Lepisosteus oculatus: one gene and its partners. The protein of the gene in region 1 binds, or shares a complex with, the protein of each later gene. Links are inferred from orthologs where the notes say so. Each region holds a gene or a part of one and is shown in the gene's direction. Other genes may lie near its edges.

Evidence for each region.
Region 2: the proteins of scap (region 1) and insig2 are in contact, whole or in part, in a cryo-EM structure (PDB 7ETW), measured with the Homo sapiens proteins. The link is inferred for Lepisosteus oculatus from reciprocal best matches to the Homo sapiens genes SCAP and INSIG2. Residues at the interface, in NP_036367.2 of Homo sapiens: Pro200, Ser206, Val282, Ala283, Glu284, Ile286, Pro287, Thr290, Ile294, Ala297, Tyr298, Phe301, Lys305, Tyr351, Val354, Val355, Glu359, Thr409, Leu410, Val411, Ser638, Tyr639; in NP_001308258.1 of Homo sapiens: Phe41, Val45, Leu48, Leu49, Ile51, Val55, Leu57, Phe58, Pro59, Val62, Ser65, Ile66, Glu104, Trp105, Ser106, Met109, Arg110, Val112, Ala113, Val114, Val116, Gly117, His120, Gln132.
Region 3: scap (region 1) and rnf139 share a complex: the UniProt entries of both Homo sapiens proteins name them as parts of the SCAP-SREBP complex. The link is inferred for Lepisosteus oculatus from reciprocal best matches to the Homo sapiens genes SCAP and RNF139.

What each region holds. Positions count from the first base shown.
Region 1 is NC_090705.1:19,916,272-19,923,838, reverse strand, and holds the start of scap (sterol regulatory element-binding protein cleavage-activating protein), read left to right. Parts: upstream 1-4,478; 5' UTR 4,479-4,555; coding exon 4,556-4,641; intron 4,642-5,488; coding exon 5,489-5,683; intron 5,684-7,567. UniProt on the Homo sapiens protein: Escort protein required for cholesterol as well as lipid homeostasis.
Region 2 is NC_090707.1:6,226,459-6,234,414, forward strand, and holds the start of insig2 (insulin-induced gene 2 protein), read left to right. Parts: upstream 1-4,903; 5' UTR 4,904-4,978; exon of another isoform or gene 4,979-4,987; intron 4,988-4,993; exon of another isoform or gene 4,994-5,117; intron 5,118-5,161; exon of another isoform or gene 5,162-5,921; intron 5,922-6,950; 5' UTR 6,951-7,050; coding exon 7,051-7,303; intron 7,304-7,956. UniProt on the Homo sapiens protein: Oxysterol-binding protein that mediates feedback control of cholesterol synthesis by controlling both endoplasmic reticulum to Golgi transport of SCAP and degradation of HMGCR.
Region 3 is NC_090705.1:12,502,004-12,509,248, forward strand, and holds the start of rnf139 (E3 ubiquitin-protein ligase RNF139), read left to right. Parts: upstream 1-4,166; 5' UTR 4,167-4,326; coding exon 4,327-4,489; intron 4,490-5,805; coding exon 5,806-7,245. Other genes in the region: deoxyribonuclease TATDN1, read left to right, coding at 103-229, 1,127-1,229. UniProt on the Homo sapiens protein: E3-ubiquitin ligase; acts as a negative regulator of cell proliferation through mechanisms involving G2/M arrest and cell death.

The sequences.
Region 1 (7,567 bases):
TTACGATTGTAAAATATACGATTCTTAACACTATGAGATAAGCCTGCAAAGAAGAGATCATAGTTCTTCTGAACTTGGGAAAGCCCCAAGCAAATATTAAATGATAGAGCTATAAGAGAAAGTAATTTTGTTGATCTGCTTATTGTAAAAGTACAGTTATCACTGTGGCAAGGTGGTTTTCATTGCTGCCTTGCAGCGCTGGGGCCCAGGGTTCAATAACACACCCGAAGTGCTATCTGCATGTAGTTTGTATGTTCTCCCTGTTTTTGCTTGGGTTTCCTCCCGCATTACAAAAACATACTGGTAGGTTAAATGGCTTCTGGGAAAGCTGGCTCTGGTGTGAGTGTGTGCGTGTCTGTGTCAGTTTCTGTACACTGCAGGCCTTGTGTCCCCTGCAGGGTGTTAGCCACGTTTGTGTGTGTTGCTTGCCTGGATAGGACTGTGAGGTAACCATAGCCTGTATGGGAGTAAGCAGTTAGTAAATGGATAGCGGGGTGGATGGATTATTGTAAAAAGACACTATCACTGTTCAGGACTGTGAAAACGCTTGGCGAGTGATGCACAGTTTTGACGAGTGTAAAGCACTATGTGTCTGCAGCTGGTGTACTACAGTAGGTGCTGCCGGAAGTGTTAACCTGGTGTGGAAGAAGCCACTTGTGCACTGTTATTGCCATGTGGGTAAGGCTGGGAGATTTCTTGGTCAAGTAGAGTGAGGGCTTAATGAAACTAGATTTTAGTTTACAGTGCCTGGAAAGAATTAAGTTAAGAACAGACTCGCCTAAAAATAGGACATGCATTTACACACGGATTTGTGGGGAGCTGTGTCCAACTTCCCTTTCAGGAAACAGCTTGTGGTGCCTTAAGAATTGGCTGAATTCTGTGATCAAACGGTTCATATCAACCCAATATAAAGGAAGTCCAAATGGAAAAACAGTGTTGTGGATTTTATCTATGTAATCTTATGAGATGACGAGGATCTGGTGTGCTGTTTGAAGAGATATCAGTCATTGCTTGTTTTTTTTTAATGCTTCCCTATATGGTTTCGTATAAACGTATTCACTTTAAGATATTCTGAATTTATGCATATTTTTGCTGCCGAATGTTATCAGAGCTCCACATGGGTCTAAGTGATACATAAAGGCACCTTGAGTAAACAAATAACTCAGGAGTTTAGTGCTTGTTTCATTTATTTAAAAAACAGTCATCCAACGTCCAAATGTCCCTGAGTGGAAAAGGTTAACTGATTCTCCCCTGAGATTCAGTAACTGGTTGCTCCACGTTTAGCTGCAGGAACTGCACCCAAATACGTCCCGTAGTTGAGCATCGGTCTCTCACATGGTTGTTGGAATATTGACCTGTTCCCCCGTGGCAACCTGCTGGAAACTGCTGTAAGGGGGGTGAATACTTTCAGAACGGTAGCTGTCCTGAGGATGTGATCTGTAGCTGAAGTGCTCATCTGGAGACTGCACTCTGTGCTTTGGAAACTGTATCATTGCTGTGTATCGCTGATCTCTGTAGCCCATCTGGGACCTGTGTGTAATGGTGGAGCCCCACTGCAGTCACATGCACAGCTCTGCATGCCTCCTTATCTCACAGGGGAGTTAATTTGTGATTTACTGTAGGACAGTTAAAAGGATAGCCCTCAGGAGCTGAGCTGTAGAGTTCAGGCTCTGCAGAGCTCACGTTGTCCATGCAGTAGCAGCAGCACCGCAAGTTCTCCACACCTGTCTCTCTGGAAGACCTGGAGCCAGTTGAAAGTTAAAAATGAATTAGTTGCTCCTGCCGTTGAGGATCAACATAAATAATTAAGAGTCGGTAGGAGCACAATGCTGCAATGAAATAGAGCCGAGCTGCTGCCTGTGCCCGCCCCAGCCCCCGGGGAGTTTGGTCTGTGTGAACAGGTCCTGTTCTAGTGGGATTTCGCAAACGCTGACTCCAAAGTCCTTGGCAGCGGGATATATTTGCTCCTTGCAGTTTGCCACTTTCTCCGGAGAGACTGTCTAAAAATATTGCATCACAGTGTTTCCAAATGTTCTCGTCCCCAGCAGGCTTTTAGAGAATGTGTGCAGAGCACTGCTAGGCCTCAGCAGTCCGTGTACATACCCGTGTGGCCAAACTGTGGGTATGGGAGTGTTAGTGTGCACTAGAGTATTTGACACATGGGCTAATCACCACTTACTGCTATCTTTAATACATTTTCAGTGTATGAAATACACTGTATTGCTGCCTTTTCTGGTCTTTTTCCACTTGTGTTATTTCTCTTTCTTTTCCTTTGTCCTAGAAGTACTATACTGCATGTCTTGGATGGATCTAAATAGTCCGGGCTTACTGCTTTCATACACACACCTGACAGCAAGCATACAGTACGTTAGAGACGCACCAATTTGCACCTCAGCTGGGGATTACAGTTCCCCTTTCTGAGAGATTGCACTCTGTGTGAGCTTTTACTAAGCTGTGGCTGCCCTAAGAGTGTTAATTAATGATTCTGTTGATTTAAAAATATTTCAAATACGGGGACATCAGGAGCCTGCAGTAGTTCTGACCTGTAAATGTGTGAGACTGTAACAGGGGTGAGAGGTCAGTGATCTTGGTGCAGGTTAAAGGTAAACGCAGTGTGTGCAGTTATTAACAGTGCAGTAGAGCTTTGCATGCATTTGCCTCTTATTTATGGGTTGTTCAATAATATATCTGCTATTGAAGTGCTTTGAAAATGAAGCCTTGTTAAATTAATAAGGGTGGAAAAGCCTAAAGTTAGCTGTCACATCCCCTGTGTCATTGGATGACACTCTTCCAATATGGATACATAAAGAAACAGTATAGTTACAGACCTTGTCCTGGAGACAGAGAGCCCCAAAGGTTGGAAACTTTAAAGTTGTGACTCTTCGTTCCGTACCTGAATTTTGTAAGCCATACATTTGTATACCATATTTGCACACACCACACTGTATTTAATTTTTTTTAATTGTTAAAAAATGAGAATGTTAACCTTATATACTGTATTATACTGTTCTTAATGTAACATTGTTTTGTTAAATTGGGACTCTCTGACATCTGAATTCCAATGGGTGATAAATGCATAAAAGCCACATCATGTTGCAATTTGTGCATTGGATGGCCATCTGCAGGACCTCCCTCTGCATCTGCTCTGTAATAGTATGCAGCTTCATTAAAGCCACACTAAAAACTGTTCCCATACTTGAAGTAAGAGTAACACCTGTTCTGGTTCTGCCATGCTGAATGAGTCGTGTGACTGTTGTTGTCAGATAATTAAAAAATACATGTCATATTTTGAATCACGATATATTGTACTACAAAAAAAATCATTTCACCTCATTTTTCGGGTGATGGGTATGTTGTTGTTGAGACAGGCTCAAAGTCTTTTTCACATGAGTCTCCATTTTTCACAGTTACGTTTTATGTTATTACTTGTGAAGGACTGCAGACATGCCTGTGAGAACCCGACACTCCAGATCACACTTGTTGTGATATACCAGTTCTCAAATTGTTGTCAGGAGCAGTTAAAAATATAGGCATTAGCCGCTTGTAATTAAAATGGGAAATTCTGATAAAAAGGGTTTGATAGCGTCATGCCAATCATTAGAATACTTCAAAATTAGGCGAATTGTTGGATTTTTATGGATACACTTGACACTGATGGCCAGGGCAGCATTTTCACAATGAATTCTGATATTACTGATACAGTTTTGGGGCGGCACAGTGGTCAGCATTGCAGCCTTGCAGTGTTGGGGCCCTGTGTTCCATTCCAGACCTGGGGAGCTATCAGCTTGGAGTTTAGACATCCTCCACACATCCGTGTGGGTTTTCTCCCACAGTCCAAAAACACACTGGTTGGTTTAATTGGCTTCCAGGAAATTTGGCCCTGGTGTGAGTGTGTTTGTGTCTGTGTGTGCTATGCGATGGGCTGGCATCATGTCCAGGGTGTATCCTGTCTTGTACCCCGTTGCTGGTAAGGATAGGCTCCGGCTCTCCTGCTGGGATGGAGGGATACAGTCCTCTTAGTTGAAATGAGAAGGAAGAGGCTTCTCCGGTTCTCGGTTCTTTGGTCGGGGCCGGGCAGAGGGATCGGACTGGCTGGAGGGGGTCCGCCCCGGTATGAGGGCAGCAGTGTCCTCTCCCCAGTGGGGCAGTGCAAGAGAGAAACTGGAGGGCAGCAGGGCACTGACTCTGAGCTCTGGTCTGAACTCTCTTCTGCAGATTGCAGTGGGTGTTCACATTTGTCCTTTTTCCACCAAACCTCTTGCCACATCTGTCTCCAGAGGTGCCAGCGGCAAAGCTTGTGGCTGTCACAGACCTGGGTTGTGGGGCGCTGCGTAAAAGAAGTGTTTGTAGTGCCGTCAGCTGTGCTGAGACGCCTCCTTTAGCTGCCCGGCATTTGTGCTGCTTTGCGCTGGTAAGTGGAGTGTACAGTATTAGCTTTGTTCATGCCGTGAGCACTGTGTTGTGAAATCCCATCAGGAATGTGAGCCGGGTTGCAGGGCTGTGCGGAGCGGAGAGCAGGGAGGGTCATTGTACAGCGGGGCTCGCGGCTTCAACAATGGAGCACTGTCTGCGGCTTTGGACCGAAAAACCTAATAGTTGGAGGAATTTAAAAGGCAGGATAAAAGCTGCTATAAAAAACAAGTAAGTAGAAGCTGCTATAAGCCTTTCCCTGAGGTGCCCTAATGATGCGTTTTCTGCAGATGTCGAGGTCTTCAAAACAGATAGACAGGGAGGAACACTGGGGGCTTCGCTGTCACCCCCGGCACCTGGGAGCAGTGGAAAAGGAAGCAGCTCTTGAAAAAGGCAGCTAGACAATTTGATCCTGACCTGAGTCGTAATGCCTGCGATCAAAACGAAGATAATATTATTTGGGATCTTTCTTGGGAGAGCAGTGTGGGCATTCCCGGGATGCCATGCTTCTCAGAGCTGTGGCTTTGAATGCATGTGTGCATTGCATGCAAGATAGAGACGTCTAATGTTAGTCTCTGAATCACAGCTTTGCTGTCATTCTCAGGCCTGTCCACAGGTGCTGAATGCTCCTACTGGCCTATACTGGGAAGTAGCAAGGGGGACACGGACTAGAAATAAGACAGCTCTCCTTAGTTGCCAAAAGGCCAACCCAGAAGGATTTCATAGGTTTCTATAAAATGATCAAGCACCATACACCTGGAACTATGGTGTAGTTGGGTGATTTGAAAGAACAGTTTGCTCAATTAGCTGAGAGCTCAGATGGAGTGAAAATTGTAAGGCTCAGTTGGCTCTTGAGGACTTAAATTGAGTAGCACTGGTGCAGTTGTAACATGTGCCGAATCATGAGTTAAGGTCCAGGCGATGTGTGTACTTGGCCTGGGGTTGTACTTGTGCACTGTGCTGGGGTTAGCATACCTGGAGCACAGTGCCCGTGTCGGGGAGGGTAATGTGTACAGTACAGTAAGGACATCTTCGCCCACTGCTCTGCTTCACTAACCCTGTTTTTGTTTGTTCCCAGGTCCCTGAATGCCCCCCGGACCCCTGCTCTCTGCCCCACGGCGCCCCCCAATGGCTCTCAGCTGACCCCCAGGATGACTGTGAGTGAGCGGCTACAGAAGCGCATCTCCGCTGCATTCTACCGGCATGGGTTGCTTTGTGCATCGTACCCAGTACCCATCATCCTCTTCACCGCGGTCTCCATCCTGGCCTGCTGGTGAGTATCGCGGGGCAGCCAGACCCCGAAAAAGACACAGAGGGAAGGATGTAAGAGAAAGGAGGAAGATCAATGTATTTCATTGAAAGAGGGAAAGTATGTCTGTCAATGCTAGCTATCCTTTCTTTCCACTTATATCAAGAAATTATTGTGGGAGTATGGGACAAGTCACCCAACCATGTGGTTGATGCCGATACGCTGAATGAGATCCTTGGATCAATTAAGTACTAACTACCAATTGGGCTAGATGGGCCTAATGTCTTCCTCTTGTTTATAACTGTACTTATGTTCTTAAAAAGCATATATCTTATATATATATTGAAACATCAACATTTATTATTGCTGCTGCTTTTAAGATGAACAGTAATACCCTAATAATATCTGTATTTCCCTACAGAGAGTGTGAGGGGCCATAAGACTGGATGTGATTCAGTTGTTAGTTTGCCAGTCATTGGTGATGTTGCAGCAACAGAATTAGTGGTGCTATTCAGGGCTTTGCTGCTATCTTTAGTCAAGTGGGGCTGAAGACAACATTTCCAAACCCTGTCTGCAGCCTCACACTGAGAGAGCCAGGCATCGTCTTTTTCCAGCCAGCCAAACTCCCAGTAGATTTAAGCACATCCTCAATGCAGTTTAATTACACAGCTTTCAACAGCAGATCTTTGAGTATACACTGCCTTTCAAAAGCATTTTCTGCTTCCAATGATGTCCTGTTTTGATGAATTACAAATTATATACGCACATTATTTTTTGTGCTACTACAGATTACAACAAAATCATCCAACCTCAACAGTTTTTTGTTAACTTCTTTCCCGGCTGCTTAATTTGGAGGCACAGTCTGATGTAGGCAGTGTCTGGGTGGTACACTACAGATTCCAATTGTTATATGATTGACTTCACCATGCTGAAAGGCTGTACAGTGTCTTTGAAATATTTTTATACCCTTCTTCTGATCTATGCCTTTCTACAACTGTTTCCCTGAGTTGTTTTGAAACCTGCTTGGTCTTCATGGTTAAATGTTTGCTTGAAAATCACTACCTGACTGAACGGCCTTACAAAGACGGGTACATATATGACATCATATAATTGCAGTCTTACCACACACAGATAGGGGGACACTCAGATAATTGTGTGACATGTCACAGTAATTTTATATACCTGATCTAATTTAGGTTGGCCTTAGCAAAGGTGGTGTATTATTATACAACATATTTATCTTTTTATTTCCCAGATATAGGCGATTAATATATATATATAAGTATTAGTTCTACCAGTAACTACAGTCTAAAGTAATGTCAAATCAAAAGATTGAAGAAAATCAAATGTACTTGTTCATCTGTCTTTAAACTGCAAACACAATGATAAGGATAATAATGATGAAGACAGACTTTAAGGGCTTTCTCTAGCCCTAGCTCTGCCTCAACAGCATGCTAACTGAGAACTCCATTAGAACATCTTTTTTCAAATCATTAAAAACCTGCCTAATGTAGAAACATCATTACAGAAGATGAATCTATAGAGCTTTTAGATGATCAGCTAGCTACAGTAGGATAGGGTTAGCTTTCCGACACTAGAGTTTCTTTTTTTCTTTCACTCATACAAGCCTTCAAAAGTGCCAAGTGAACAATATTCACATGGGGGAAAAAATGTGTGTACAGTACATCATTTGGAATTGATCCGAATGGAACATCATCGGAAGGAGGTGAATACTTTCGCAAGGCACTGTGTGTTTTTTTGAGTTGACACTGAAAGGACATATTAGTTACTGAAATTATTAGGCTTTCCTGCATTTCTTCATCACTGTCGCAAGGACCGTTGTTCATCTGGGCCCAACATCCATCTGATAAATTAAAATTAATAATACCACGATAATCCCAAACACAA
Region 2 (7,956 bases), on another chromosome or scaffold:
TATAGTGTGCCGCTTTGTAGAAAAGATTGAAATGAAAAATATGCTCTTTAAGATACAGACCTATCTTGGAAGCATAATATGGGGGAAAAAAGGAATACTGATGGCATCTGATAATGATTTAAAGCCAATCAGTCCATGATGTCTCAATATTTTTCAATCATATGTGGATCAAATACTAGGTTTTGTATCTATACTATCTTATTAAAGGAAGGAAAATATTGTAACTCACATAAGGAGTAAATAGTCTTGTATTTATTTTTTAAAAATCACAAATATTTCACTGATCTGAAAACTTCCTACTTCTTCAAGCTTCCCAGCTATGTGCGAAAATACAATTATTAAAATGACTAATTACTAATACCATTTTACCCAGATTTGTTTAGACAGAAGAGAACGTGCCACTGAAGGTTCTTTTACTCTCTTATAGTGCAAATGTGCACTGAAATACCCTTTAACCACAAATACATAAAACAACAAAATGTTTTGCCTCCCTGAAAGCATAAATATCAGCTGTCTGATGCCCTCTATCCAACACAAATTCTGACATTAAATGAAAGTACTTTGGGATATTTATAAATTACCATAATTTAGGCACACACCTAAGAATGAGTAAATTAGGGGGTGCTTTTAACAGTTATTTGAGATCCTGTCTGATTTTAAAAACACGAACTGAATGCCAGATAGGCGAATCGTGTAATATGCACATTTATTGGCTTTCAGCAATTGAATCTACCAGGGCTTACATGTTTGGGGTCAAAGGTTAATTAAAGACATCCAAAGGTCGAGGAGTGATTATGTGGGGGCTAGGATTGTAATGGGGCGAGGGAGCTCACTCGAACAGGAGCCCTGACAGAAGATTTATACCAGAGGTTATGACATTGGTGCAAATAGTGCTGATAAAAAGGGCCTCTCCGCATTGGAGTGAACAGGATGATGAATCGGGTGCTTGACCACTCTCACTTATCGTTGAAACTCTTTCCCTGCTCCCAGCGCCTAATAGCAGGTTATTTGCCCTCACTTCAGAGTGCTGATCATCTCCAAGGGTTTTGAAACACTAGCCTGAAGTGCAGGTGATAAAGTGCATTAACTGATAAGAACTGACCATTGAATGCTCTAAATGAATTAACAAGCGATAATGTTCCTCTTTATAGAGAGATAACACATGCTGCACATTGGGCAAATGGTGCTGGCTGTAGGTTCGGACTCGTCTATACAGATCGCAACGGAATGGGAGCAAGCATCAGATGACTGTAAAATATTTTACATCATCTCTGTCGCCACTTCATTACCTTCACTTTTCACATTTTCAGACTCTGATTTTACTCTGGAGTGTTGCACAGTGCCGGTGTGGCATATCGTTTTTCATTATTATCGCCCTTTTACCTTTAACTTGTTTCAGCTGATATAAAGTAAATTCGGTGTCTTGTTTTCTTTTTTAAGTTCATTATACTGCAGGTAAATATAATCAGGAGTCTTTGTCAATCCAAGGCTAGAAAAGGGGCATTCATACAGTACATCAACACAGTGGTGAGTCTGTTAGCACTGCTGTCTTCTAAGATGCTGGGTCTCGGTTTCATACAACTGTCTGTGTGGAGCTTGCATGTTCCCCTTGTGCTTGCATGGCTTTTCGATGGGTGCGCCTGGTTTGTGTGCGTGTCCTGAGACTGGACTGCCATCCCAGCCCTGTTGTTATCTCACTTTATGTCTCCAGTATCTGTTGGTCCTGTGACCATTATAAAATAAGCAGCTTTCTGCTACCCAGTGGATGGGTACACGATATATACCAATACAAATATTTTTCTCTTGCTCAGATTGTTTCTTTGAAAACAAATGAATCAAATCCTCCTTTGCCTTCTTCCAAAGGACGCTCTTTGCATAGTAATTAAATTCCTTTCTACTGTTCTGTGCTTTGGGTACTTTTAATACCATGTAATACACAGATTTTGAGCAACTGTAATTGCTTCAGATTTTTTTTTCTTTATGATTCCTTTCAAGTTACTCATGAGTGTTCACTTAACAAATTTGATTTGCTCTAGTATGTGGTCTAATAGGCTTAAGTTATGGAACTAAAGAAATCAAAGTGGATTATGGAAATCCTAGTTCTCTAGTTTGCAGTTTATTTTTACACTTATTATACTTTTATGCAGTATTTGTAATACACTCTGTCGGATTATGCTGTTCGCTACACTGTACCATCCATTGAGCTTACACAGATATCCTGAAACATGGCATGCTCCTTCCTTCCAGTAAACGAAAATATGAAATACTTTAATCTGAAATAACTCGGCAGATAAAGAAACAGTTCAATTTGCTTTTATTAGATAGCTGCAACTAATATTGATTGACAGTGAATCACTTTACTTCTGTTCACAACTGTTTTGCACTGTAACTTCATTTACAATATCAATGCTCTTATCCCCTCGAACAAAGAGAATTGCCTCAAAATCACAATCAATAATCACAATAATCTTGAAACTAGTAAAAGCACACACACACCTACAGACACTAATCTTATGATGGAATTAGAATTCTGGGAGTGCAATGCTTTCACAGTAATCTGTCAAAGATAGATCACATGCTCTCAATGGGTCCCAAAAAATCAAACTGCAATTTTACACTATGGATCAATGAGTAATCCAGTGCTTGATGGGACCACATGCATCTGTGAGAACTGCCCGAGAACTGCCAAATGGCATGCCCAGTGTGTGGAACGTGTTCAGTGTCTTGCAGCTCCTGCATTTTATACCACACCGTGGAGGTAACATTTAAAGAATCTCTTGAGACTCCTTTCTACAGCACCAGTTTCGGCCTTTGAGGTATTTGAGGTTTAAAGTTAATAGCTGAATGTGCAGTGCTACAGTATGAAGATTTTCAATTGGCTTCTGCCAGTATCCTATTAGGTAACAATGTGTTTAAGGGAATTCAATGGCTGATTTTAATCTGGGAGGATGTCTATTTATTTAAGTCAAGGCTTTGTATATGTGTTTATACGTACTTCATTTAGAGGCTCTTGTTTAATCAATGTTATTCAGTGCATGCTTTTAATTATAAAGTCCTTATTACCGAAGTAACCTAATAGCAAAATGCAATTAACCAGAGCAATAATGAGCTAATTGGTTACTAATTAGAATCAACAGCACAACAGTCACTTGTCATTTGGAATGATGGTGGTAGCTGTAAGTAGCTTAGGGGAAAAGGCTAAATTATCACTGCGGATAAACAATGAAGATGTGTAAAGACTTGCATTTTGGAATTTTATATGTATTAATTACAAAGGGGCTTACATTACATTGTTGACATAGTATTACAACACAAAGCTTATCGTCAGATTTTTTTTTAAACACTTTTCATTAACCCATTATTTCTGGGAAACAAATGCAATGTACCAACGTCCATTTTGAACACTGTTTGGCACCTTTTGTTGAAATGATCTTTTCTGACACACTCTTCTCCGCTCTAAATGTGCATCCCATGAATACCAAATAAAAAAATATATGATCAATTTGTAGAATTATTATAATTACATAATATATAACTATGTTGATCTTAAATATGATAAATCTATTATCAACGTACAGTATATACTACATTTTAGTTAATAAGAATACCCTGAAAATAAAATAGGAGTTGGAATATGAAGCATAAACACGCCAGTCAAGAACTTCATTACAATCCATATTACACCCTCATAATTCACATTAATTTTTACATAATATATATTATTGTGGATTTCCCGGCTTCATCTCCTCGTGAAATTTGTGTCAATGTTGCTAAAGCCATGCCCAGTTTCCAAAACATCGCAAGTTGTTCTCGTGCAATATTGTTCGCATTAATAAACTGTAAACTAAAAAAAATCGAATTAGCTAAATCGCCTTTCAATATTTCAATTTCAATTGATTTTTAAATGAAAGTACAATATATCATCTTTCCAGGGCGATGCAGAGTTAAAGCTCACAGAATTACTGAATGCTTTTTTTGTCACTGCCATGGCCAAAAGCCAAATAATCTATAGTATCACAAAATCCATATGCAGGGCATTATCAGATTAAAAAATTAAATATGGAAAGTAATGAAGAGAATGGCTCAGCTGTGTAACGTATAGTGCACCTGTGTGCTGTTGTGTTCTAACCAGTAACCTGATAAGGATGAAATACCAGCAACAGGCCCGCTGGGAATCCGCAGTTCACTAAATAAGTATTTCGTGAAGTGGATAAGTAACAGTACATTTTAAAAAGGGGGGAATTAGCGATATCATGCCTGTTCCTGTTTAAAACCCTGCCTCGCCAAGACCAGCTTTGGCACTCCTGGGCTGGACTGATGCGCTTAAATCCCCTGTTTCCACGCTAACAAGATGTACGCTGACGACAAGGCCAACTGGAGAGGCATGGAAATCACAGGGCAGGTGGAAACCAAATCATGAATTTCCCAGAAAGAAGATGATGATAGGCAGAGCAAAACACAGTTATTCGCTGGAGAAGGGAAAGAGAGCAGGCTGGTTTTGTGAACCAAAGACAGTGCCCAACTGTTATCCCAGCTATAGGTTTTAGTCATGGTAACTTAACTGTCCACCTCATTTTACTACGACATATATAAATCTGTTTCTGGCATATTTCTCAGGTACTTCAAACTGGCACCCCGTCTTGAACTACAAACCAATTAACCATCATTCTTTGCAACATCATGGAATGTCAGTGGCCACAAACAGCTGTTGTCTCTTACAGCTACGATGCTCTGTACCAGGTTTTTCCATCGTTAAATAATAATTAATAACAATAATGATGATGATAATAATAATAATAATAAAGTCAACAACTTCCACCACATCCCTCAGGGCTGCTTTGACTCCCTGGTTCATACATGCGACTGCACTGCGCCTGCGGGCTCTTGCTAGGAAATGACGTCACGCCGCTCGACCCTGATTGGAGGTTGAGCGCCGTGCACATCGCAGAGTGACGGGGAAGTGATGTGGTCCTCCGAGGTAAACACGGTAAACTTTATTTTCAGCCTAGGTTTAATCTTTCCGCTAACGAAAGTTTCCGAACCGAAGGATCGTTCGCGTCTTTAGGTGCGCGTTAGTTCGCATGAGAGGGATAAATGTTTTGTGTGTGAGAGATGAGGTAAGAACTCCGAAAGAGAAAACCGCTTTGCTGTGTAAGGTTACTGTCTGTTTCGATCTCGGTACCCCCTGTCAGCAGTTTCATTTTTAATAAGTGGTGTTTGCTTTAAACTGCGTTTTATAGGAATGGGGAAAATGCAAGAGCTGTTAACGTTTATTTGAAATATCAATCGTTTTGACGAGTAAGTTTGTCCCCTGTCCTTCATAGGCCTGCCCGGTGTGATTGGCCTGTCTGGATTTGTGTTACCAGACGGAAGAGTTAACAGCTGTAACGGGCCATGTTTTAAAGTGTTTACGTGCCTTAAAATTGATCCCTTTCTTCCGATCCAGGACAGACTGGCGAGACTCATGCACGACTCCTCCTTTACTGACTTAACTCGGGTTTTGCCATGCTCGTTTCTCGCGTCTTGTGGAGAAGCGCAGTCCAGTCCGTTCAGACCCATGATTTCTGTGTTTTCACTCGCTCAGAATCACTGGATTCATACTCTTCTTTTAAAACAACACAAATCAACTCACTGACACTGGAGTAAGTGGGGTCTTGCGAAGTGTATTCACACACAAAAAGTACCAAAACAACGTCTTCCTAGGTATTCTATCGAAGTGGAAGACTAGACAAGCTTGACTGTAAATCCGGTTTTCAAAGGGAGCTGTGGCCAAATGGTTTTTGGGGAGGAAATGGCATTATTCAAGTGGGGTACTCTTGCTTACAAGACCATTGCGGTGGCTGTGATTGAACACAGGTTTGCTACAAAACGTACCAAACCCGAAGAAGCAGTAACCATGTCGAACATGTTGCAGATGTGAGGTCAGTTCGCTTGTAACTGTACTATTATTGCACGCTGGGGTTCATCTAGACTGTTGTCTTCCTTACTCGCCTCTCTGCGTTCACACCCTAACAGGTATATGGTCCATGACCATCGTGCAGAACTGGAGACACTCTCCCATGGCTTTCAAAACTGACCAGTGTTGTAAAACCGTTTGAGGGCAACACTGAACATGAAGGAAACACCCAAAGAAGGCCATTTAATGGAAGAGTTTCTTGAAGGCTTCACTCGATAATACTTGTTACGCAGACACCGAAACTAAAACACTAGCATGAAGCAGGTGTTGCTTCATATTTATTTTACAGTCAGTTGCATTTAAATGGTTAAAGGGCTATTTGGAGTTGTAATCTCTATTTTGGAAGCCATTCTCACTATTAATCCATTTATTTTGGGTGAAGCAATGTTTTATTGAGTATGTAATTTACGATTTTTCAGAGGCATTATTTTCAGGCGTCTGGCATTCAGTAATACTCTGCCTTTTTTGAAGAAAAAAAAAAACATGACATATTTGAGTTGTAATTCTTCACCTGTCCAGACAGCGTACAATTAGATTTGGTATAGAGTTTAACCAGCTGAATCTAATGTTCCCCTCTCTTTATTATCTCTTGGTTGTATATCTTCAGCTTTCCTGTAGTTGTAAAACTGGATACGTATACCATGTAGACTACAGACTAAGCAGTGCTTTGAGAATTTAAACAACTGTTATGCAGTTTGATGTGCAAAATTGTCTACATGCGTTAAAAGAGAACCTGATAATGGGATTTAAGTGGCGACTGACATAAATCTGCTGTTTTCTCCCATTTTGGCCTTAGAGGAATGAAATATTTTGAATTCTGTCTGATTCCTCTGGTGAAGACCTCATGGCTGTGGGACTGAGCACCCTTGTTTAAAAACAAAATAGGAACAAATGCCTCTGATCACCTCTGACAAGACGGTTTTGTCCGTTACCTTTCTTGACGCGTGCACCAAGGTGAGTGTCAGTGTTGTTGTTGTTTTCTCGTTGATGCCAGGCTTGCAGTGATGCCTGACCGTGTCCAGTGCGCAGGTGGCTGTCGGCGGGGAGACGCCTTAGTGTTCTGAGAGCAGCTCGCGGGGCCGTGTTTGGCAGAAATGGCTGAAGCACCCAAGGTGACGCGACGGCCGTCCGCGCCGACGGTCCGCGGGCCGTACATCTCCGTCGTGACCAACCGCGCCACGAACTTGGTCATCCGGGCAGTAGTCCTGTTTTCCATTGGGGTCTTCCTTGCTCTGGTGCTGAACCTGCTGCAGGTTCAGAGAAATGTCACGCTTTTCCCTCCGGACATGATTGCCAGCATCTTCTCCTCTGCATGGTGGGTCCCTCCCTGCTGTGGAACGGCTTCAGGTGAGCCTTTAGGAAGCGATGGGGATTCCAATATCAGTCATAAATCCAGTTCTTCTGAGTCTGTATGATTTTTGTCGGGTTGACACCTTGACTATAGACAGGATTTTTTTCCCCAAACAGTTACGGAACCAGAACAGTAAACAAAGCGGAACCTTAATTTAATTAGGTGCCCTCCTGATAATGAACGTTTGGAAGTCAGAAGAGGGTAGCTAATATTTACCTGCACGTAATTGGAGACAAAGTTAAATGGAAGCTCTGCTTGTTCTGGATGCTCCATGCAGAGCACTGGCCAAGTCAGATTAGTCCTTTGCAAAGGGCTGCGAAGAGAAAAGCAAAGGCTCGTTCTACACTGGGAAAAAAACTGTTGGGTGGTTAAACCTTCTTCAGGTGTGAGGTGAAGAAAGATTGACAGCCTAATTGTTGTGTTCTTTCTACTTTCGGCATGAGATTAACCTTTACTTGTTCCTTAATCGTTTGTAATTCCTTATTCCTTAATCCTGCCCAAGAAAGTAGCACACGTTTATGTAGTTGATGGAGCAGACCCACAGGCCTGGTCTCCGTGATGGTAGCACAGAATCTGTTGTCCTGTGAATTTGGTTCAGCATTTTGTCATTGCATATTGATACAATAAGAACAAAACTGGAATTTTCCCA
Region 3 (7,245 bases), about 7.4 Mb from region 1:
AGGAAAAAATTGGACAGCTCAGAGAAAAGTGGTGCAGTTGGCTTGAAAGTCATGTGTCTGTAATGGTTACTACTTGTGATTGTGTCTTCTTGTGTAACATAGATGCTCCATGGTGTGGAGTGAAGAACAGTCATGCAGGCTTCAAGTACATAAAAACTACCTTTCCTACTAAGAAGAAATGGGAAGCAGGCCATTGTGTAAAGGACAGAAATGAGCCCTGCCATATAATGTACGTAAGCAAAGGAAATTATTTTTAAAACATAAGTAAATGCAACAGATTGTGCAGGCTTTTAATCAGAACCTGCGAGCATGATTCTGTAGTACCTGTGTCAACATTTACATCCACAAATGTCATCTTAGAGAATAACAATGTTGTTTTTTTTCTAATGACTTACCTTGGCATTCAGTTTCTGTGACTTCCTCGCTTTAAAGATCATGTATTGAGCTCTAGGAAACAATCATGTGATTACATCATGTTGCTGTATATGTTGCTGCAGTTGTTTGAATAACTGGCCAGTAATTGTACTTTTCTACCTCCTCACAAGCCTACAATTTCATAATCCAAGCACAGTTTGCCCTCAAAACTCATTTCTTGCAGTTACAGTTGTCAGATGAAGCTCTCACAGACATGCCTTTTCTCGAACCAGTTGGTGTCTGTCTGGCTGCTGCCAGTGTCCTTAGGCATGAACTTTTGAGGAGCCACCCATGCTGTAGTGAATGCAGACTTGCCTCTTCAGAATCTGTGGAGTGGTCTTAGGAATTCAGGAGCTCTCTGGAGTGAGGAAATAACAAAACCAAAAAAATTAAAGGTACACCTTTTAGCAAGAGATGGTTACGTAAAATGATATGGTTTTCTGAACTATTACTTGATCTTTGAACTCCATTCAGAATTTCCTATTAGAAATTTTCAGACCAAAGTGATACTTGGAGCTGTGTGCCTCAATTAAAAGACTTCGCAGTACTATGAGCTCATGTGCATAACTATAATATAACCCCCACACCTACAAATAAAAGACTGTAGCGTGTGTGAAACACTGGTGCTTGAGTTTCAAATGAGGTATTTTTTAGGAGCTTTTTAATGAGTTAAAAATTGAAAATATGAAAACATTCATGTCTCCCATTACAGTCAAGTGCTAGAGATCATGGCTGCAGCAAGAGAAGAAGATCCTTTTGAGCTGGCAAACACTATTTTCAACAATACCATAAAGGTCTTCTTCAAAGGAAGCTGAAGGCTTATACCGACTAGAGCTGCTCTCACACCAGACAACGTGGTATGGGCTTCTGTCTTCACTACCACACTGTTCCAGATTTGTTTCGCAGCTTGAAAATCCTGGAATCCACATACAGGAACCATGATGAACATGATTCTTGATTGCTGCTTCTGGGAAACAAATATATATTTTTAAAGAAAATAAAAAATAATTTAAAAGGCATTAAGTTTGTTGTTTGTATGACACCTAATTTGGATTTATCAGATTTATCATTTTTAATGTACTATGTTTAATAGTTTTTAGTAGGGATATGGTCACTTGTATGGTATTATGCATGTTATGTTAATGTTGACTTCCAGTTTATTTGTAATTAATATAAGTCATGTGACTTTTAGATGAGGTTGTAAGATATCTAAATACGTATTAATAGGTTAGTGATATTGGTGTTGCTAAGCTTTACACCATGGTAATAGAAAAGTAACGATATGTCATAGTACTTGAAGAGCTACACACCAACCGCTTTACTCTGAAAGAAATGGCACCCCTCACTGCTGCCATCTTGTGATTTTGTAAAAAAAAAGATCAAATAAATTGTAAATTTATCAAATTAACATTTTATTTTCAACATGAATTAAATATTATTAACTAATCACAAATAGCTACTTGTTTCCTTGGTGCCCTTATCAGTGCGATATGAAAAAGGCTGTCAATGTGATTACAAGGCACAGAAAGTGAAATTTCAAACCCATTGGAACTGGGTTACATCCATTGGGTTACGCACAGGTGATGAGAACCATGAGGTTGAACTGGTATAGAAGACATCCTGAGGAACTTTCCTATTGCCTTATCTGGGAAAGGGGTGGAGATGGAGAAGGTTTTCAAAATATCCCACGTTTTATGTTCATTGGTAAATCTACCTGTATATCAGGTATTAGTACAGAAAAGTTCGGTGCCTGTAAATAATAATATTGTGGTGCCTTCGCCTGGCGTTGCGGTTGAAGAGCGCCTTGCCGAGGTGCGCAGCGAAGGGCAGGATGGGAGGAGGAGTCAAAGGGGGGACTGAGGGCGACTGGCCAGTGCAGGTTGACCATCTGGTGCAGTTGCACATTGTTGTGGGCTGTTGGGTTGCATATAAATAGTTATCTCCGGTTTATACTGTACTCTTTTATACCTGTACCCACTTAACTACCCTGTACCTATATGACCCTAGTGTGTTATACCCTGGTTACACTGTCTGTCTCCAGCTGTCTTTGCTGCTGTGCCGGCAATAAAGAGCAGTTTCCGTTCTAAAAAGAGCATGAATTCCTGTCTGCATCCTCACCGACCCTGTCTCCCTACATTTGTGTCAGCAGTGGGAGGGATGGACAGCGATTAGTGCCAACACCTGTCGGACTCAGATAAGTGCCAGTTTTACCAGCAGGCGAGTGACCCCCTCAAGCCCTTTCTGGGGACGAGCAGCAGCAACCAGGAGCAGGAGTGGCTCCCTGGCACCACTGGAGGGTTGTGGTCCTGCACTGGGACCGCCTGGTTCCATTCAGGGCTCGTGAGGGGACGCTCTAATAGGAGGGCGCAGCGGATCCCAGGGAGCAGCCAGTTCCAGATTCCTATGGCCTGGGGGGGCCAAGGGAGCAGACCGCCAGACTCCACCCCAATGCAGCGAGCGAGTTCACCGGGCGCCACGGGGGCTGGAGGATTTAGTGTGCGGCCTCGCTGGGTTATTCATCGTTGGTGGGACACTTGATGTTTTAGGTGGTGGCAATGTGGCGCTCTCACCTGGCGTTGCGGCCGAAGAGCGTCTAGCTGAGGTGCACGGCGAAGGGCAGGATGGGAGGGGGGACTGAGGGCGACTGGCCAGCGCGGGTTGAACATCTGGTGCAGTTGCACATTTTTGTGGGCTGTTGGGTTGTCATATGTATAATTATCTCCGGTTTACAGCCTTTTATACCTGTACCCACTTAACTACCCTATACCTATGTTTCAGTACCCTAGGTGACCCTAGTGTGTTATACCCTGGTTACACTGTCTGTCTCCAGCTGTCTTTGCTGCTGTGCCGGCAATAAAGAGCAGTTTCCATTCTAAAAAGAGCCTGAATTCCTGTCTGCATTCTCACAGACCCCGTCTCGCTACAATATCAAATAATTACTAAGATTTTTCTCTGGCTTACCTTCTTAGTTATGGAGACCTTTTCTTCCCCTTGACGTGCCAACAATTTGGTTAACGAACTTTCTCCTCGAATTGCCTTTTTGCGTTTGTCTGAGTCAACTTGAGCTTGCAAGTCAAGTACAACTTGATTTGCCACGGAGACAAACGTACCAGGCTTACACACCAAACATTCAGCTTCCCGGTCTTCTCTGCCACTTCGAAAACAAGGAAATTTATTTTTTAGTTCTGCTGTGAATTTACACTTTCGCTTTAGCATTGTGTTTGAGGGTAGGAAGACGAGAAACAAAATAGGGAGCCTTTTGAGGGAATGCTTATGCTACTAGTAGTAGGCATGCTGCAGTTTCACTGATTATCCTATACTTCGATTGCCTTGATACAGAAGCATAATGACACTTAAAAGCAACTCCTACTCACAATATTAATGGACGACTTTCAATGTATTAGTTACACATGTGTACACTCTCTTCTTTATTGAGATGGACTTCTTAAATGGGTCTTCCTGCGAGAAAACGTAGGAACTTGTTATTAATATGCTATTAATATGCTATCTTCCGTAAATTACAAAAGATATTGTTGTAGTCTATCTCTTTGCACTTTTCCAAAATAGGAGATAGTGAGGTTTCTACGCTACAGAGGATTCATTCCTTGGCTTCTGCAGAACAATCCGGCACGAACCTTAAGAGAAAAAGCAGAACTGTCTGACCGTTGCCATAACAACTGGACATCAAGTCCATTGCGTCATGTTTAGGAGCTCCATTTAATTACGTATTCACTATGACGTTCCAAATTGGAGTTACTTCCGCGTTCCGTGCATAGCAACAGGAGGACAGTGAAGATGGCGGTGTGCAGGGATCCAGAAAAATAACTTCAGAAAATTCAGTAATTTGTTTAATCAGAAGCGGCGAGAGAGCATTGGACTCCGAGAGCCCGAGTCCTCTTGGTATAACGTCCCATGGCGTCCCCTCATATCCGGATCGGCCACCAGGCCCTAGCTGTGCTGGATGTGGCTTTTCGAGTTCCCTGTATTTTCATTATCGACGCCATTTTTAACTCTTATTTTGATCCTGGGTCCGGATGGGCCATCACTGCTGTACGGATTTTAATTCGTTTTTTGGGTAAGGTGAATTTAAAGTATTAATGAAATGTCGTCTGATAGGGTGTGTGTCATCCTTTTAATTCACTCTTGCGTGTTGTTAAACCTGATCAAGCTGACCAGGCCACCTGTCAAACAGGAGCTCCGGCCTCTCGGTTTACTCCCTGCGGTTCCGATGTCATTGACACGCCGTTCATGAGTAGCCAACAGAGTCGAGAGGAGTGAAAAACTCCCCTGTGTGCTGTTTTGGATAATACCACTGCCTTTCTGCGCTTCTAATGTCTTGAGTTGAATAGTTTACGTTTATTTGTTATATCCCCGCGCTTCGTTTTGGGTTAACATTAGGAAGGGCAACAGCGATCGGATGATTTTAAATGCCAATAAGATTTTATAAAACAGGGAGCTCTTCAACTCTGTCGTCTTGAGCAAGTCTAATTTTCCTAAGAAATGAGTTTATGGACGGCGTTTTCAGTAGCATATGTTTCTAGGACCGGATGTCCGATTTTCTTCATGTTATCCTTCAGCTGACTTTTGAAATATGCTTCAAACGGATTTCTGTTAGCCAGTTTATTTCCACATTTCCTTGATTTATGGAGTCAGGTTTTCTTCCCATTCTCTCCAAAATCTGTATGGGTTAAAGCCCTGAAATATGTAATCGCAAATCTTAACTTTAAGAGCAAGTTTCATACTGCTGAAACGATGATTTACATTCTTTGTAAACATTAGGTTTGAGTTGTTTTATCACGCTTTCAGAAAAGCATTAGTTCATTGTTCTAGTTTTAGCAGACAATATTTGTTTAGTAGGAAATTAGATCGACAGTCTTAAATGTTAATTGTAACTAAACCATATAGGCTACAGTGAAAATCATAACTATCAGGACAGTAAAGTGAAATTAATCATTTTTGCTGTGTACTAAAAACGTGTATTTTGGATCAAAAGATTAATATGAGATCAAATCTGAATGTCAGTTTTGATTCTGGATGGTCTCGTATATACCCTTGTCTTATCACAAGAACATAGCAATTCAGATGACAGTTCAGGGAATACAGGCTAATGTAGTTAATCTGTGTTAAAGAGTGCCACCTCGATTTGTACCTGTCAAGTTCTAAAATTCCACTCTGCAAAACAGCCATCAGGCATAATATCATGTGTGTTACAACGTAACATATTGCATTCCAAAGTACTGCTTCCTTTTCTAGTGCCACAGCCGGAACATGTGTAGCTCTCAGTTCAGTTCATTCAGATTTTCATAAGGATATAATGTTGCATCATAAATCAAGTTAATTTTAATAATGTTGTATCATAAATCAAGTTAATTTTTTTCCTTTCTTTTCCAGGTGTTTTGGTATCAGGTGTTGTCCTGGTCTTGTCCCAGAGAGCGCTCTTTAAGTTCTACATGATCTTCTTTGCAGTACTTTTGGGAGCCGTCGCATTTCTGGTGAACTATTACGCCACCTCTCATATAGACTTCTACAGCGCTTACTATACAGCAGCATTAGGATTTAAGCTGCTTCCTCGTAGTGGACCCACACTATGGCTGGGCATGGCCACAGTCCAGCTTATGTTTGGAATTGGGCATGTTATGCTCCTCAATGTACAGTCAGTCTTTGCTGCACTAATTGTCCTAGACATTATGATCCCCATATGGGGCTTGATCTTGGAGTTGCCAGTGGATGTGAGACAGCTCCTGGCCATCATTTCAGGCTTGGTTCTTGTAGTGAACACAGTTGTCTGCTTACTTATGAAGATAAAGTGGTTCTATTACTCAGGTCGCTATGTGTACCTGCTCATCAGGCACATGTATCGCATCTATGGACTCCAGCTGCTGGTGGAGGACACCTGGAAAAGGATCCGCTTCCCAGATGTCCTCAGGGTTTTCTGGCTCACGAGACTTACAGCTCAAGCTATCATTCTGGTTTACGTTGTGAAAGTGGTGGACAATGAAGAAGGAAAGTGGAATTATTTGATCTCCTGGGATGCTTTCTGGGATGTTTTGTGCAACCTTATCATCAGTGGGTGTGACTCAACCTTGACAGTCCTGGGCATGAGTGCAGTTATCTCCTCCATTGCTCATTACTTGGGGCTCGGTATATTGGCTTTCATTGGTTCCACAGAAGAAGAAGATAAACGCTTGGGTTTCGTAGCACCTGTGTTGTTTTTCATTTTAGCTCTTCAGACTGGCCTTAGTGGCCTAGACCCTGAGGAGAGACTGGTCCGGCTCAGCCGAAACATGTGCCTTCTCTTGACTGCCATCTTGCATTTCATTCATGGGATGACTGATCCAGTTCTGATGTCTTTGAGTGCCTCACATGTTTCGTCTTTTCGCAGACATTTCCCTGTGCTCTTGGTCTCCTTGTGTCTGTTTGTACTGCCCATTGTGCTGAGCTTCATCCTCTGGCACCACTACATTCTAAATACCTGGCTGTTTGCTGTGACTGCATTTTGTGTAGAGCTCTGTCTGAAGGTCATTGTGTCCCTGACTGTCTACACACTCTTCATGATTGATGGCTACTACAATGTCTTATGGGAAAAGCTGGATGACTATGTGTATTATGTGCGCTCAACTGGCAATGTAATTGAGTTCATTTTTGGGGTGATCATGTTTGGGAATGGAGCTTACACCATGATGTTCGAATCTGGCAGTAAGATCCGCGCGTGCATGATGTGTCTCCATGCCTACTTCAACATTTACCTACAAGCCAAGAATGGCTGGAAGACCTTCATTAATCGGCGGACAGCAGTGAAGAAAATCAACTCGCTGCCGGAGGTGAAAGGAG